3 linked regions of the Neodiprion lecontei genome follow. The protein of the gene in region 3 purifies or fractionates together with the protein of the main gene of each other region. This does not show direct contact. Links are inferred from orthologs where the notes say so. Each region holds a gene or a part of one and is shown on either strand. Other genes may lie near its edges. The genes, in order: ATP-dependent RNA helicase DDX42, PHD finger-like domain-containing protein 5A and splicing factor 3B subunit 4.

The links.
Region 1: the proteins of splicing factor 3B subunit 4 (region 3) and ATP-dependent RNA helicase DDX42 purify together in Homo sapiens (affinity purification with mass spectrometry; 3 studies listed by BioGRID and IntAct, with this or other methods). This does not show direct contact. The link is inferred for Neodiprion lecontei from reciprocal best matches to the Homo sapiens genes SF3B4 and DDX42.
Region 2: the proteins of splicing factor 3B subunit 4 (region 3) and PHD finger-like domain-containing protein 5A purify together in Homo sapiens (affinity purification with mass spectrometry; 6 studies listed by BioGRID and IntAct, with this or other methods). This does not show direct contact. The link is inferred for Neodiprion lecontei from reciprocal best matches to the Homo sapiens genes SF3B4 and PHF5A.

What each region holds. Positions count from the first base shown.
Region 1 is NC_060261.1:42,759,092-42,765,552, reverse strand, and holds the start of ATP-dependent RNA helicase DDX42, read left to right. Parts: upstream 1-2,518; 5' UTR 2,519-2,686; intron 2,687-2,896; 5' UTR 2,897-2,905; coding exon 2,906-3,120; intron 3,121-3,221; coding exon 3,222-3,494; intron 3,495-3,614; coding exon 3,615-4,155; intron 4,156-4,247; coding exon 4,248-4,476; intron 4,477-4,573; coding exon 4,574-4,848; intron 4,849-4,939; coding exon 4,940-5,090; intron 5,091-5,269; coding exon 5,270-5,610; intron 5,611-5,676; coding exon 5,677-5,805; intron 5,806-5,885; coding exon 5,886-6,092; 3' UTR 6,093-6,461. UniProt on the Homo sapiens protein: ATP-dependent RNA helicase that binds to partially double-stranded RNAs (dsRNAs) in order to unwind RNA secondary structures. Unwinding is promoted in the presence of single-strand binding proteins.
Region 2 is NC_060261.1:2,320,302-2,326,081, forward strand, and holds PHD finger-like domain-containing protein 5A, read left to right. Parts: upstream 1-1,832; 5' UTR 1,833-2,079; coding exon 2,080-2,131; intron 2,132-2,408; coding exon 2,409-2,599; intron 2,600-2,671; coding exon 2,672-2,761; 3' UTR 2,762-3,395; downstream 3,396-5,780. Other genes in the region: MAGUK p55 subfamily member 7, read right to left, coding at 167-453, 946-970.
Region 3 is NC_060261.1:8,362,448-8,368,653, forward strand, and holds splicing factor 3B subunit 4, read left to right. Parts: upstream 1-2,676; 5' UTR 2,677-2,786; coding exon 2,787-2,820; intron 2,821-3,117; coding exon 3,118-3,201; intron 3,202-3,315; coding exon 3,316-3,590; intron 3,591-3,690; coding exon 3,691-4,542; 3' UTR 4,543-4,613; downstream 4,614-6,206. Other genes in the region: testis-expressed protein 2, read right to left, coding at 50-319, 449-1,685, 1,919-1,970; uncharacterized protein LOC107218135, read left to right, coding at 5,633-5,836. UniProt on the Homo sapiens protein: Component of the 17S U2 SnRNP complex of the spliceosome, a large ribonucleoprotein complex that removes introns from transcribed pre-mRNAs.

The sequences.
Region 1 (6,461 bases), about 34 Mb from region 3:
TATTCCTACTCCTACTTCTACCCCTGATCCTACTACTACTCCTACTGTTACTACTTCTACTCCTATTCCTACTCCGAGTCCTATTCCTACTACTACTCCTACTTCTACTTCTACTTCTACTCCTATTTCTACATCTTTCTCTGATCCTACTCCTAGTCCTACTCCTGATCCTACTGCTAATCCTACTCCTGACCCTATTCCTACTCCTACTTCTACTCCTGATCTACTACTCCTACTGTTACTACTTCTACTCCTATTCCTACTCCGAGTCCTATTCCTACTACTTCTCCTACTTCTACTCCTACTTCTACTCCTATTTCTACATCTTTCTCTGATCCTACTCCTACTCCTACTCCTGATCCTACTGCTAATCCTACTCCTGATCCTATTCCTACTCCTACTTCTACTCCCGATCCCACTTCTGATCCTACTCATACTCCTACTCCTACTCCTGATTCTATTCCTGATCTTACTCCTACTCCTCCTTCTGATCCTACTCCTATTCCTACTCCTGATACTGATCCTTCTTCATCAAATATTATAAAAATGTTAAACTCACCGAGCACAAATCCTCATCCTCCTTGTCCACCTTGTTCTCCTCGTCCAGCTCGACTACCTCCAACCACCACCAACGACCACCGCTGACCACCTCGGGTTATACCTCGAATACTAATAAATATTACAAGTATTAGATCTCATCAAAAATATTGTGTAAGGATTAATGTAATTTTTTTAAGGTCACATTTTACCCAGAAGTTTATGAGAAAATTATGAAAAATTATTGGAATTTTACTAGCGCATTGATAGCTAATGAATTTGGGCTTGCACGAAAAATGAATTGAAATAATTTATTGTGAACATGACAGGTTTAACCAGAATTACGGAAAATTAGTCCTGAAGGTCGAACGTTACCAGGTCAAGGACCGGGACAGCCAGAACTACGGAGCGCTTCTCCTGGATGTCAAGATCCATCAGGTGGAGGACCTGGACAGATAGAACTACGGAAAATTAGTCCTGAAGTCGAGTAACATCAGGTGGAGGATCTCAACAGCCAAATCTACGGAAAATTAGTCCTGAAGGTCGAACGTTACCAGGTCAAGGACCTGGACCACTAGAACCACGGAGCGCTTGTCTTGGAAGTCGAGTTTCACCAGGTAGCGGACCTGGAGCGCAGGAAGTACGGAGCGCTTGTTCCTGAAGTCGAGTTTCACCAGGTAATGGACCTTGAGCGCAGAAACTACGGAGCGGTTGTCCTGGAAGTCGAGTTTCACCAGGTAGTGGACCTGGAGCGCAGGGACCACGGAGCGCTTGTCCTGGAACTCGCGTTGCATCAGGAAGCGGACCCGGAGCGCAGGATCCAGGAGGTAGAGAACCCGGAACTCGAAATCTGCGGAGCGCGATTCTCATACGTCCTCTCTACTGCGCGGTTGTTACCAGACTGAGGAATTCGGCTAACTGATTTTCGTCTATATAGATCGATGACGTCAAGGGAAAAAAAATTCTAAAATTCTGAAACTGATTGCATCGAGTTGAATAACACGATCGATTTGCTGTTAACTGTGTTGCTTCACCCGTTTCCAAGATCACGAATTTACACATCTAAACTCCTGGAGTCTTTGGAGATTTTTCGAATTTTAAATTGCATCAGTTGGAATCGAGGTTTGGGTAATATTTAGAGTGCAGGCTTTCGATGTTTTTCATATTTTTCGTATAATTCCGCAAACAAAAACACGTTTCCCACATATCAGTGGTAATATCTAACGTTGATAATTTTTCTTAAAGATAAGCAATGGATCATGGGGTACAGAAGACTCCAAGTTTTCGGATGATTTTGCAACCAATCGTTTACTTATTCTTGACATCTATACCAAATTCCAAAGCCACGTATCTGTACTTTTTGGGTTGACACACTTTTCAATTAACAATAATAAAATTCTATCACGCGTACTTGTAACACTAAATATTCCAAAAAAGATCTTTTTATATGGTAAGGGTGATCCCCAAGGATTGCTTTCCAAAAGAGGCAGGCGATACGTTTAATGCAATAGTCAAACTTTTATAAATCCGTGCAAAGAAATTCTCGGGTTATCTTCTTGTTATGTACTACAGTGCAAAGTGTAACTATATTCATTTCAATTTCCTTCGATGCGGAATAACAGATTATAACTACGTGTTCCGACAAAGTAGCGATGTAACGATTCAAATCAAAGTATTACCTCGCGCTTACTACAGTTTCATTTCAATCGCTATTTCAAGTCGTACTTATACATGTACGCATACTCGCGTGCAGTTTTTACTTTCCCATTTTTATCTACGTATTTTCTCGCCTTTGTAAAATATAGATAGTTGTTGGTTATGAAGAACTTCATTTACCGATGTGGTTAGTTATTTGGTTGATAATACGTGAAACTGCTATTGCCCCCAAGTCTAAATATAGTCAGCTGCGATGGCGTATTGCGCATGCGTTATTAGAAAGAGAGAAAGAGAACTTTGTTATCTGCTCGTAGCGTGATTTCGGACATTTTTATTCTATACCAGTGCTGCTGCAGGCGGTCTGTAGATTCATCGAGATTCACTCGTTCGCAAAGAGGTTAATTCGGTCGTCCAGTGTCCGGTGCCATCGACCACCTTACCATTGTTAAATGTAACAGTGATCGTAATTTTATTCGAATATCGCCAGATTAATGTGAGTAAAGTACCACAGAATTTCAATTAATTATATGGGCACCCTTAGTCGAATAGCGGGAAATTACATTCTTGCTTCATTCGTAGAGTAAACCTTGTACTTAACCTAACCGGGCTGAGTATACAGTTTTGCTATTTGGTATCCTTTCCTGAAATATTTACCGTACACCAAGTTGAAGTTGACTTTGTATTTACAACGATTTTATGATAGCACTGAAAAATGAGTTACCACCGGGGAGGTGGTAACAAGCCAAAGGGCTTTGGCTTCGCTGGATTTCAGATGGCTGGAACCAAGAGAAGCGGCGTCAACATTCCGCCACCCCCGAACAACTCAACTCTCAGCAAACAAGGCTATCATACAATGAATTCTATAACCGAGAACGCTCTATCTGCAAACTGGGGGATACCTAAAAAGCGAAGCAAAACTGAGGAAGAGTAAGTGTTGTTCAGTTGGTAGTTACTATTATTATTGAAGTTTCCCAGATAGGATTTAGTTTAAAAAGTAAGTCGATTATAAAATCAATTTACATAATCAGATATTTTGAGGATGATGACGATGCGCCGACTTCCTCATTGGAATATATCCCTGCGCCGGGTTCTCCGACCTACGAACTTATGAAGAAAGACAATCGAAAACAGGAAAGTGACAGTGACGAGGATCCACTCGACGCGTTTATGGCTGGAATCGACGCTGAAGTTAAAAAGAATACATTCGAAGCTGAGCTGGCTGAAGAGATGAGAATGGAAGACAAATCCAAGGGAATCAGAACTGACATCGATGATGAAGACGACGAGGAGAGTTACTACAAGTAATATTTTATTTATAAAAAAGCATACGACGTCTTCCATTCGCTAAAAATTCCATATTGTAAACAATCACAAGAAAGTTCAAAGTGGTGTGATAAAAATGACTGCATTTCGTTTTTCAGATATATGGAAGAAAACCCTACAGCAGGGCTTCAGCAAGATGACTCGGATCAGGAGATTGAGTATGACGAAGATGGGAACCCAATACCACCACCAAAAAAGAAGGACATTGATCCCTTGCCTCCGATTGATCACAGTGAAATAAACTACGAACCATTTGAAAAGAATTTCTATAATGTACACGAGGAGATTGCAAATTTAAACAAGCAGCAAGTCGAGGACTTACGGCAGACCTTGGGAATCAAAGTGACCGGTCCTTCTGCGCCCAATCCAGTCACCAGCTTTGCACATTTCGGATTCGACGATGCTTTGATAAAGTCGATTAGAAAAAACGAGTATACTCAGCCGACTCCCATTCAGGCACAAGCAATACCTGCTGCTCTGAGTGGCCGGGATTTGATAGGAATTGCTAAAACTGGTAGTGGAAAAACAGCGGCGTTTATTTGGCCGATGTTGGTGCACATTATGGATCAGCAAGAACTAAAGCCAGGCGATGGGCCAATCGGTCTGATATTAGCGCCAACCAGAGAATTATCACAGCAGGTAAAATTTGTAGCAACGATAATTTACCGTCAGTTGTAGAAAATGACAAATTATAAACTTTAATAATTACCTGGAAAATTATCTTCTTGCAGATATACCAAGAGGCTAAGAAATTTGGCAAGGTATATAACATACAAGTATGCTGTTGCTACGGAGGTGGCAGTAAATGGGAGCAAAGCAAAGCCTTGGAAGGAGGTGCGGAAATAGTCGTTGCTACTCCTGGTCGAATGATCGATTTGGTCAAGATGAAGGCTACCAATTTGGCCAGAGTTTCGTTTCTCGTGCTTGACGAAGCTGACAGAATGTTTGACATGGGTTTTGGTGAGTGAGCAGCCAGGCGATATCCTTTACATTGAAACATCAAAAGTCATTACTGTTCTGTACAAACAAACTCATTTTTATCACATACAATGTTCAGAACCACAGGTAAGGTCGATTTGCAACCATGTCAGACCAGACAGACAAACGCTACTGTTCAGTGCGACTTTTAAGAAGAGGGTTGAAAAACTGGCGCGTGACGTGCTCACGGATCCTATAAGGATTGTTCAAGGAGATGTAGGAGAAGCTAACACAGACGTGACGCAACACGTTGTCATGTTCAACAGTAATCCTGCTGCCAAATGGTCTTGGCTACTGCATAACATTGTTGAATTTCTCAGCGCTGGTAGTCTACTCATATTTGTAACTAAAAAGGTGCGGAATATTATAATAAACCAACGAGAATCAGTTACGGCAAATAAACACAGGCTACGATCTTTGAGCGTTTTTCAATTTTTGATCTTAGCTAAACGCTGAGGAGGTCTCGAACAATCTAAAATTGAAGGAATTCGATGTTCTCCTGTTGCACGGTGATATGGACCAGATCGAACGAAACAAAGTTATCACTGCTTTCAAGAAACAAGAAATAAGTATACTTGTCGCTACCGATGTCGCAGGTAAGCTACATCTGTGACAGAAATAACGATATTGAAATTTACTATTCAAAGAAATCTCTCAACTGATTTTGCAATTCCCCCTGATTTTTTACGTCGAGATACCTTTTATGAGAACAAAGCAGACGTGTGGTCTGAAGTTTTTCTATATGGTATATTTATCGCAATACTCTTAACTTCAGCTCGTGGCTTGGATATCCCTCACATAAAAACGGTACTGAATTACGATGTGGCGCGCGACATAGACACGCACACACACAGGATAGGAAGGACAGGTCGAGCAGGAGAAAAGGGAACAGCGTTCACTCTGGTCACTGACAAAGATAAAGAATTCGCTGGTCATTTAGTGAGAAATTTAGAGGGAGCGAATCAAGATGTACCGAAAGGTCTGCTCGATCTGGCCTTGCAAAGTGCCTGGTTCCGAAAATCGAGATTTAAAGGTGGAAAAGGCAAAAGCTTGAACGTCGGTGGTGCAGGACTCGGGTTCAGAGGTCGAGTGTCCGATGGAACAAACAGTGGACAGGTTTGTTGCAAACACGTAATTGTAAGTACACGTTTGTACACCGTTAATTCATCTTCAATTCTACAGAGTGGCGGATCCTCGAATCCGGCATCGAAGGACATCAGCGAAGTAGTCAAAAAATTGGAGAGACATGGACCGGGAAGCGATCGACTCTCGGCGATGAAAGCTGCCTTCAAAAGCCAGTACAACACTCAGGTATGATCTTATATTGTAATCGCTGCCACCTGCCGAACCGTTCGAAAATTATTTAATTATTTGTTTGTTTTTTGTTATAGTTCCGTGCGTCTTCGGATCACACGTGGGAGCAAACGATTCAGCCAGCATCTGTCGTGATGCCCCCGCCTCCGCCAATGCTACCCTCTTCTTCACCTCCTACGTCAGCCGCCGGTCTCAGCGAGCAGTCGGAGGGCCAGGAATATCAGAATTCTAACTCTGCGGCAACGGGAGAGAGGCGGAGGGTCAGAAAGAGTCGATGGGAGTGAGTCGGATTAAAATTGCTGCCAAGCCATATCAGTGAGCCCAAATCTACGATTATTCTATCATCGCAAATACACCGACTGCAAAGCCTGTTTTGTTTTATATTATTATAATGAAAATAAATCCTCATTTTACCAATTCTGTGCGAGTCGTGTGCCAATTTGATCCTTAGGTTCCTGTTTAATCATATTTATTGATATACGAAAGATAAAGTTGATTCAACGATCATACATCTTTTACATTAGTTTGTCCTCTGCACGAGTTACATAATTTTCTATTTCCAACAACGATCAGATTTATAGGAAAGGGTTCACAGCATCCAGTAAATGGTCTTTTAGCTTGTTTCGCATTCACCCAAAACTCCTAGCATGATC
Region 2 (5,780 bases), about 6.0 Mb from region 3:
TTGTTCCAAGCATGATACTTGATATTTGTAAAAGAAGGATATATATCGAAATTGAATTGCTATCATCTCTTTCCTCCCTAAATTAAATTATTATTGCAGAATGAAAAGATTTTTCATTTGAAATTTCTCCTTGTATTTTTTAATTTCATTGATTTCCTTCTCTTACCTGCATATGACGGTTCTGTAATAAAAGAAATAGTTGCTTGCAATCTGCGGATCCACGTGTTTTTGGCACAAGTACATCCAAAACGTCGATGTTGACGTCCATGGAGTTTGATAATACAGGAAAGAATTTGTCATCATTGGAGAGATTTATGATCTTGTTGTGAACGTTAACCAACGCGTTAAGCTCCTTCGACTTTAATATTTCACTGAGAAAATTAAGCTCCTCCTCGCTGCAACTTGGGAGTTCAGTCTTATTATCTTCCAGTGAATTGAGAAGCTTTGATAAGGCTGAAAATGAAATGAAAAACCTAAAATTTAATACCATACAGCATGAGTACCTGTACAGAGAAATAGAAATAGGAGATAAGCATAAAAACTGTGTATAACCGAGCTTCAAGACTATTCTATAAATAGTTATTGTCTATTTACAAGTTTGATGTAAGGACTCGAGAACCTGTCCAGCTTGAAAGATCAACAAGATTTCACAGCTTTGCTTACTTCTAGTTTAGAACGAACGGTTTAAAATGTCAATAGAATTGATTTGAAAAGTCCTACCCAATTGAGACAATTACTTACGAGAGAATTTCAATTAAAAATCTATATACAAATAAAACTGACTAATGTAGCGCAGATATTTTTCATTGACTTTCGGTGATTCTTTACATGAAAATTGCATACCGTGGTGAAAATATTCAATTCTTCAACACATTTTCAGCCAATGTCGTGAAACCAGAACAAATTATCAAGGGGTAGAAATAACGAAATAATTTAAAGACTCACCTGCATCCCAATTAGAATTATCCATTACGGGACTTGCGACCCGTCATTCACCCCGAAATCGTTCGCGCAATAAAGAGGGCAGGATTGAGAAATGATACAAAATTTACTACGGTCGAATATCACCCTATTCCTTCCCTCCGAGTTGAAGCCTTACTACTTTTTTCTCACGTACATAATACGTACGCGTAAATACGCGCGATGTCCAAAAATACGCACACGACCGACACTTCGCACTGTGCTCTAACATGCCAAATAATGCCAAACTGCAGTCAGCGAACGCGCTACGAGGAAGCTAATTCTGGTACTTGGATTGGTAAATTCGTGCATCCGAGGATTGCAGCTGTCTGAATTATTCCCTCTAATCTGATTGTCACTGGTCACTGCGGATCCATCAGCGAATATATTCTGAATTTGGGTGCGAGGGGGTGAGTGAGTGAGTCTGCGTTGACTGAAGAATTTAAATCTGTTACCCTTGGATAAATTTTTGTGACCAATACTCAGCAAGTGGAATTGGAGTGATCTGAAGCTTCTTTATCGGCGGAGGCCTTTTATCACATAATCACATAAGTACACAAAATCTTGTTAGCATAGCCGTCCAGTCTTCAGTCAATAGTCTATGACAATTTATGAGTGCGTTCCAAAACTAACTGGCAGCGCTGAAAACTCCCTAGGACTAAAACCAGCTACGAACTCTATAGCGAAAAACGACGTAAGATAGTTGACAGCACCGGGGGCTGATTTCGAAACGCATGATGTGGATTACCGAATGTGTCTAAATGAGAGAGAGCATAAACGAAATAGAAGACTTGTGCTTTCAGTTCTCTCTCTCTCGCTCTCTCTGATAGTTTGATTATTTGTGTGAAATACGGGAATATAACGTTTGTCTCAATTCCATCTACGTTTCGTTTAATCTTTCATTTCAATAATCATAGCAAGTTTAAATTTCAAATTCCTTGTATTTGCGTTTGAAAATGTACCCTCTAGTGGCGGGTGAAGGTACCGATGTTGAAAATTAATTTGATACCGATACATCCGTTTTCGGTAAGGTCGGCCTTTTTGAAAAGTTGCAAGTTGATATTGACAAAATAATTTAAGTATTCTGAGGTATCCGAAGGACGCTAATCATTCCAAAGCATGGCTAAGCATCATCCAGATTTGATATTTTGTAGGAAACAGCCGGGCGTTGGTAAGTTGTTTGAAAAATAGCGTAAGACTTGATCGCAATGCTGATCATTACTATCTCCGCTCGTTTCGAGATTTTATGACTTATTTCATTGCTAATAATAGCTCGTGAAACACGTATGGCTACTGGTATTATCGTTTTCGAAACTGCGACCTTGAAAATATTACTTCATGGTTCATTCTGCCGATTCTACAAGTTGACATAACCTAACATCACCCTAGCCAACCTGGCTTCACCTGTGAATAATTTTCTACAAACAATTTGAATTTTCCGTCTCCAGCTATTGGTCGATTATGTGAAAAGTGTGATGGAAAATGTGTAATCTGCGACTCGTATGTGAGGCCTTGTACACTGGTACGAATTTGTGACGAATGTAATTACGGATCTTACCAAGGCCGTTGCGTTATCTGCGGAGGACCCGGTGTATCTGATGCATATTACTGCAAAGAATGTACAATTCAAGAAAAAGATGTACGTAAGATCGTTATCATAGATTCAAATTGGCGACGCTGAAAATGCTAATTCTTTAAATATTTACGACAGAGAGACGGGTGCCCGAAAATTGTAAACCTGGGAAGTTCGAAAACGGATCTATTCTACGAAAGGAAAAAGTATGGATTTAAACGACGATAGATGTAATTATGTGTATAAGTATAGACTACAACATCTCGGTATCTGTAAGTTATGATGTGTGAAATGAGAATGAATGAGGATGGAACATTGCGTTCTGTGTTTTTATAATAAACGGTTGAATTATATTCGTACATCTGTATTTCGTCTTTATTCTTATTTATGACGAGGCAACGACAGGCAAAATCATTGGACCGATTCCTAATTACATTTCCTGTCCGTCGATCCCCTGCAGAGATTTGGATTTAGACAAGGGATAATTGGAAAATGAAAGTTGATCGTGAAAAGTTATATTTGATTTTTATTTAAATATAGCTCTATTCATTTGTCATCAACATTATTCTACGAATGAATTATGTTTTCCTAATTTTTTTTACAATTTGTTTTCGTCCTTTTACGTTATATTTGCACACAACGTACTTTAAAGTTTTTGAATACGTTTAAAACCACATATCTAAAGAAATAGTGTTAGAAGAATAATGCACGCAGATCAAACAATCTTTATTAACACAGACGTTACATTTTGGCACGCAATTTTGAGGGCACGATTTTTGCTAAAGAAAAACTTGTCTTTCACCGTTTCACAAGTATTATATATGAGAGAACTTCTGCAAAGAGGTTTTTCCAAAAGACTGTACTTACATTTGCAAAAAGCCATGTTTTTTAGAAATACATAACTGTTTAAAAAGACTGCATAAAATATTCAAATTTTCAATTCTCTAGGCGATTCCACTTGCATTACTCTTCTGCTACAGTGTCTGACTTAGCGTATGACTATTACAATCCAATAGTTTATTTAGTAACAATTTCAGTTACCTGTACCAATTATTAAACATTTTCTAACAGTTTTACTAACATTGTTGAAAGTCATATGTGTCGTATTATATTTGTATTCGTCAGGCTATTTAACTGAGAATATGAACACTTTTATTCTAATCTTTGTTCGATAAATATCAATCGAAACTTTGAAACCAATACCGATTATTTCTACCCTTATACTTAGGGAAATATGTAAGTTTAATAATAAAGCTGTTGAAATTCATTTCATATCGTTGATTCAATTCACTTTAACTTGGGCACAAACTTATTTGGTAAAATATTACCCTATTTGGCCAATATTCAATACTGTTGAGCTGCATTAGTTATTTCTTATCAAGTCATTTTCTAGTAGACGGTATTGTCAGTAAAATTATTAGAGAAGAGAATTAAAGTTTTTACAATGATAAACCACGAGTGATAGACCAACTACTTGCAATTCATAACCTACTGAAAATTCGATATAACTTTGATCGACTATTTTTTTTTCTCTTTTTTGGTATACATATATACCTATATATATATTTTTCTTTACTTTAAACACTAATCAATTAATCTATCATCGCTAACATGCATGAGATGGTTAGTTTTCAGTATTGTACTTCTCAGCTGTAATTTATGATTAACAACCGACGTGATCATCGGTTATTATCATTGTAATAATCGCTCTTTTTACTATTCACAAATTCACTATTCTACATGTTAAAGATCGATGGGTGCCGCGTAAGCTAATTCTTAGCAATACACAAAGCCATTCGATTGGTCATACGATATACTTATCAAAAAATTTGATTAATCGTAAAGAGCAAATACTTGAAATCTTTTCTCTGTATTTAAACATCATTGCAGCTATTGAATTTTACTTCTGAGGACAGTAAGACGTAAGCAATATTACCCTACGTCTGTACTTGTTTACATATAAACTTTACGCTAATGACAAATATGAGATTCTAAAATCCAATATTTTTTAGGATCCTAACATTTATATTTAGTTCTTATTAAACTGACCGTGAAATTGGCCAAGTGTTAATTTAATTCAATATCCCTCATATTAAGAGTATTAAACTTATTAGAAAGGAAAAAAGAAAATTCACGCTATTGGACGATTGCGATGAAGAAAAAAAAAAAGAAAAATAATCTTACAAGCGAACTAATTTTAATAATCTACATATTTTAACGCCAAGCGATACATTTTTATGTTTACTTGATGGGGTTTTTTCTACACCAGCACCATTAGTAATTGTTTCTACAACAATTAATAAAAGACGATAAAATTATAATTACAGGACTTTTCTACATTGAAATGCTATTATTTCGTATTATAACATCGACATCAATCTCATTGTGTAAGCATAACGTCTGGACGGGGCGGGAGGGCCATAGGTTCCTACCAAAATTTATTCCAAAACAGAATTCATTCTCTCGAAATTAATTCTTTAGTCTGAAATTATGCATTACAAAATTCGTGTCAATTCCTAAGCTACATAATCTTTTTTTTAAACATATCTTCGATTATTGTGATCAGTTTTCAATTGATTGTTTCATAGCATGTATGTTGTACATGAAATTCGATAATTATTTTGATCATTGTATTTAGGCAATATTGTAAATCGTTTTTCTTTCTTTTTTTTTTTTTTTTTGTTTTTTGGTTATTTGTTTTCTGCCTCTTTGTACATGTGTTGCATTTTTGTGAAATGTTGTTACATTGAGTTTGTTCATATCTTTACTATTGCGAGGTATCGACATACGTGAAACATTTATTGGATACGGTTTTTCAATTTTTAGTATTTTTTTTTTCCATCTCATCCTCGTTACTCCATTATTGCTTGATACTGAATAATTATATCAATTCACCCGTGTCATTTATAGGACATTATTATGTGTGTGTTTTTCCTTATAGTCCAGTATTTATTGGCTCAAAAGTAGGTCTGTATTCTTATCACTTATTCTATAATATTGCTTCAATATTAATTGATTATAGCAAGTCTGTGTATATTTACATACAAATTACTGTAGTCGCAGCGTGGGGGAAGTGTAAATAATTTTTTTTTTCACTTCCGACCAAATTTCGTCGTGTGTTACATATATCTTTTGTAAATTTTATTACAACAACCCCAATTTCGTACTACTGAATTTAAAATATTTATTTAGATATATCATTATATCACCAAGTTATTATTCCTCTTTTGCACAGTAAACAGAACGA
Region 3 (6,206 bases):
GGAATCAAACGAATTGCATTATAAATTATAAAAGATTGATGAGAGTTACCAATCTTCCTTCTGTCTGTCTGTTCGTGCAAAAATGTACATCTTTGATCTCTGACCACTCTCGTCGGTGCAATCTTCAAAAACATCTTTAGCTTCTTTTGAATCCTTAGACAGATCTTCATCAGTCTCATCCTCTTCATGAATGGTGCCATCTTCATCAACGCCAATTTTTTGAAGAATCTCATCCTCAGATGTCTCATTTAAAGAAGAACTCTCAATTAAAGCATCCTTACCGAATGTTATGCAGATTGGATACTTTTTACTCCACCTCCTGTAACAACGAAACGTCATATTTCATATTCTAAGCTGTGCGGAGAAGAAGAAATAAGATAAATTAGAGGGTTCACATTAAAAAGTAAACAATACCAGGGATTGTATAGGCACAGCTGTGATAAGTTACCTTCTTCTTATCAGCCCTTCCGGAAGTAGTTTAATTGTGGCATTAGCAAGCGTGTAGACTTTCTTCCAAATGTATCTAACGTTCTGTTTTGGCTCGTCCCAAACTTCACGTTTTGGTATTCGCGTCTTAGTTTCCATCACCTTTAAGCTGCCTCCTTCTAATCTGAAGTAAACTGAAACTGTTCTAGCAACGTGGTAATTGTCAGGATCGTAGCTGTATGGCAGCTGATTTAGCCACCCTTCAAATCGATCCAAAACGACATGCTCCTCTGCTGCAGGTATTTCCAAAACAGAGACCTGCTCGTCGCCGCTTCTGACGTCTTCAATCTTCTGAGGTGTCATTAAAGTCTGAGTTACTAGAGCTAACGCTCTTTGAATCGTGATTGTAACAAATATTCCAGCAATGAGACCAACTATGTATTCAGGCAAAGGAATAACGTGATACGCGCCGAGAAGTATTATGGGAACGCTGATAAGCTGATAAATTATTTTCTTAAAAAGTTGAGTCAATGCAGGTTCGGACTTTACTCGCTGTGGAATAAGCTTCTCAATAGCATTCAAAGGTAGTCTGATCAGAGGTGTTTGTAATTTTTTATTACCATCCGAGCTTCGCTGAGCTTGTAAATTTTTGTCATCCAAATTAGATTTTGATAACAAATCGTCCTCGGCGAGCTCCGCAGCCTCTACTCCACTCTCAACACTATCCTCTTCAGAATTTTTTGTCTTCAGACCAGTCTTAATGTTATAGAATCCTGTGAATCTGGCGGAACGATTTTTACTGAATTTTACAGGGGATGAAGACTCCAGTTCCTGTTGTTCCGAAAGATTATCTTCAGTTGGGGTGATGTCAGCCAAGTCTTCGGAATCACTAACACTAGAATTATCTTTGCTTCTGCGTTTTTTCTTTTTCCTCTCGCTTTTAATCTCAGAAATTTTTTCCTCAAAAGTTTTTGTTATCTTTCCCTTGATTTCGGATAACATCTTCCATGGATCGGTGGGTGGTGTGCCTTCCGACAAATTTCCATCGACGCTTGCCGATCGCCTGCCCAGACTAGTGCCTTCTCCCAATTCATCCTCAGATCTATTCCGACTAGTTTTACATGGACTAGATTTTGTCGATGGGTGCTCAGACTCCGGAGTGTACAACTCGTCGTCATCTGTGCTTGGGTAAAGCTCCTCAAGTTCATTGTCACTGGCATGATACCGGATCACCGGCACCGAGGTCATTATTGGTTTACCTGTTTTAACAAAAACAATTAGCTACCATATTGTCGTCACGCTGTTGGCACAAATTGTAATTGCTACATTAGTTTAGAAATAAAATAAGTATGTAGAGGCTGGTTTGTGGAAAATAAAACACCGAATGCTGGTCATGCTAGGAATTAAGTACCAAAGATTTGATAAACATTGCAAGAGGCAATAGAGAGCGAAATAAAAATTAGTCTCGACAGACAAATACATTGAATCTCACCCTTCAGCATACCCAGGGTAACCTTTCCAGGGGTAGTTGGTTTGGAACTCATTTTTCCACAGCCACTAAAAAGCGGTCAGACAATAGTTGTAAAGCTAGAAACAAGCGAGCGGTTTCGTGTCAAACCCAAAAATTTCGATTTTATTTTCTTCTCTCTTTACTTATCACTTGTCAGATGCAAGTGTCGCGAGCAACTGCAAAGGATTGCGTTAAGTGTTCCAGAAACTTGCCGCAACAGCGTAATAAACGTACTTTAAAACTGGCTCCAACATATTCGCGGTAAACAAGTGTCAATAATCGAAAACTCTAATGAAAAACTATAACGACGCAGTATTTACGAAGTGCGTATTTTGTCGTACCGGTGGATTTTTATACTTCACATTCACAAGCGCAGACAGCTTGTGATTCCCCGCTACGCACAGCCGACTATTTCTTATTTTTTACTTTATTCCGTATTAGAGATATTACACTACTGGGAATATAAAGAACCTGCATTCCTACCCGTTGGGCATATTTATTCGGCAAACGTAAAACAGAGTCATGCTATTAGTTACACCTACAATCACGCAATGTTTGGTCGGAGTTCTCCGCGCGGTTAGTAGTTACCTTTATGCGAAAAATAATCAATTTACTTCGCGATATAGCGCAGATTTCACATCATATCTGTTTACTACCGCACATCGTCGCACACCATACACACACGTGTCACACGTCGGAATGACGAAGCTTGGACAAACTTAATCATTTAAATCGATTGTCGAATGACAATCATGGCCTCTCGATTTTTGGCTCACTTCATAGCTAGACAGCGACGCCGAGTTAAGCAGCCAAGTAAATCGTAACGTCAATCGTACGCGTTGCTTGAAAGATGGCGGCCGGTCCGATCGCCGAAAGAAATCAAGGTAATTCATAATGTTTACGAAAATTAATGGAGATTAACAATTGTCGTTTCGTTTCAAAGACCTATTTCTTGCATTTCACAAACATCGCGGATAAGTTTTCAATTGCGCATCTTTAACTCAACATTTTCTGTTACGAACAATGCACGATTTAGGTTATGTTAGGTTATGTTATCTCGTAGCTAGAAGTACTTTTGAAAGAACGTTGCCTGGAATCCTAATTTTTACTTCATTGTCGCGCATAATTATTTCTTAAGTCAATTGTGACTAATAAATAACCTGAATATGACGTATTTCCAGATGCTACAATCTATGTTGGTGGTCTTGACGACAAAGTTACGGAGTCTCTCATGTGGGAACTCTTCGTACAATCTGGCCCCGTCGGTAAGAAAAGTTTGCTATTGTCTTTTTCTTCCATTAAATTATAAGAAAAACCTGAATCATTTTCATTAAATTATGTCTCATGCTTGGCTGTTCAAAACTAACTTTCTGTTTCAGTTAACGTTCATATGCCAAAAGATAGAGTGACTCAAATGCACCAGGGATATGGGTTTGTCGAATTTATGGGGGAGGAGGATGCAGATTACGCGATCAAAATTATGAACATGATCAAGCTGTACGGGAAACCAATAAGAGTAAATAAAGCTAGCGCCCATCAGAAGAATTTGGACGTAGGAGCAAACATTTTTATTGGAAACTTGGATCCAGAAGTAGATGAAAAATTACTCTACGATACGTTTAGTGCATTTGGTGTTATTCTCCAAACACCTAAGGTAGGTTAAGTCGCTTTCAATTATCAGTAATTAAGCTGTTGCGTCTCATATATCGAAAAGAAACGTGAATAATTAACGCTCCGCATTACCCATATTTCAGATAATGCGAGATCCAGAAACAGGAAATTCAAAGGGGTTTGCCTTTATAAATTTCGCATCATTTGACGCATCAGACGCTAGCATTGAGGCGATGAATGGTCAGTACTTGTGCAACCGTCCAATCTCCGTGTCCTACGCCTTTAAGCGAGACGCGAAGGGCGAGCGTCACGGAAGTGCGGCAGAGCGTCTACTCGCAGCTCAAAATCCGCTAAGCCAAGCAGACAGGCCGCATCAATTGTTCGCGGACGCACCGCCTCTCAATCCAGTGACTCAGGCTCAGAACCCCAACATGCCGCCGCACCAGGTTCAGCACCATCCGCATCATCCTCATCACGGAATGATGCACCATCATCACGGAATGGTCGTTCCTCCCCCGCCGCCTCCCTCGACTCCTGGGCCACCGATGGGACACCATCACCACCCTCCCCCGCCTCCAGTCCCTCCTCCACCATCGGGAGGATTTCCTCCATCCAACATTCCACCTCCTCCATTACCACCGATGTCAGGAATGCACCAATCGCATCCCCCTCTTCCCCCAGGGATGCCACCTCCTCTGCCTCCTATGCCTGTACCAAACTCGCAGCAGCAGCAAGCTGCTCGCATGATGCCGCCTCCGCCACACTGGGGACCACAGGGCCAGTTTCCTCCTCCGCCTCCCCCAGGCAGTGCTGGTGGACCACAGTATGGACAGTTTCAACCGCCGCCTAGACCTCCTCCAGGGTGGCGCCATCCACCACCTCCGCCTGCTTCGCAAGGAGGGCCTCCCCCCCCTCCGCCGCCGCAATTCAGGCCGCCATTCCCACCGAGAGGCCCACCACCTCCACCACCTCCGCATGAAACGGGACAGTACTGATTTGGGACTTATAAATTGAATGTTTTATAACAAATGATTGACTTGATTGAATAAAATGTAAATCTGTATTATATTAATATTTTTGCTGGATCGAGAGAAAAGAAGTTATGTTACATAGTCGTGCCTCTTTAGAAATTTAAGATTTTTAAACTTTTTCCACCAATCTACGATTTCGGTCAAATGTCACAACGCTTTTGCATTATTTTTTTTTTATTTTAATTATTTGTTGCAGACAGGTAAACTAATTTCGGCAAACATGATACTGAACACGGAGAACGAAGAACTCGAAAATCCCAATTTACTTCACTCCTCCATCCCGATTATTCGTTAGAATCGTACAAATTTGAACTGTGCAACATTGCTCGTTTGCAACAAGTGATTTAAATGCGCCACAGTCAGCTCGAACTATCTTAGCACCCTGGTACGGTCAGTTGGTCAGTATCGACCGCACCTACCTGGCGTAAATTGTACGAGGGACATTCGTCGCATCGATTATTTCGCATTTGTGCCGTCTAGACTACCATCGTAGCCATGTCCTTTTCCGCGACGTAAACTTAATTCGTAACTGGTATGTTAAAAATTTGTTCAGTTTTACGAGGCACGTGGTAAACGATCGTTTCATCTGTTGCACATTGACTCTGAGCCAAATAATCATCTTTCTTGTGATCGAACTTGCAAAGCTTTGACCGTGAGGTGATTATCCCTATTTAAAGCGCGTTGCGCAAGTTCGAACACCCCAGTTAAACACGACAAACTCCCATAAAATCAGCAGCCATCAATCGCACGGTGATTACTGTCGTTAATCACGGGAACTTTCGTTATATGCAAAACAAAATGCACAGTGATTCGAACTTTTGCTAATGCACCGGGGTTCAAATTTATCCATCAAACAGGATCGCTTCGTATTTTAATAATATGTTTTTACGGTGGCAAGTGAAGTACACGGATATAAATTATCACTGTGTAAACGACTCAATCAGTGAGTATAATAATTTGTGGCTAATTTTAAAATTCTGTGTGACAAATTAAACGACCGTATCAATGTTGCTCAAACGTGTCTGAAGTAAGTGCAGGTAATTTTAATCGTACAATGGCGCGTCCGATATACGAGTGCAATTTCGGACTGCGTAGTGAGAATTACACAGCCAGTGGTCCGATATTTTGTACAATCAACAAGCAATACTGCTGCAACTCACAATGTTGCCTTGTACAGCGAAGACCGACTCGCCAGCTTTGGGAAGCCTGGTACTTTTGGCTCGGACTCGCTTTGCTCGCTCTATTTCTGCTCACATCGGTAAGATAATGTTTATTTTGTATTATTATATAGTTAATAATACAACGAAACGACCTTGATGACGGTTGTAAAATTTATTATTCATTTCACAAGCATCGGAGAGTCTGTGATATTCATATCGGAAGGATTTCAAAAAGTTTCCCGCCAGAATTACAAACCCGCTTGAATGTGGAAAAATTTTTGAGACGATGTTAAACCGATGAATGAAAGCCGCGTGACAAATTCTAGAAAAATTTATTCCATCAATGACCATAGGAATTATCAATTTCTATCAACCGAAGTTACGATGGCTGTTATTTTTCTTTGACCATAAGTTCAAATGACAGTTTAAACCTTTCAACAGGCAAATTCAATCATTCGAAACGTATTC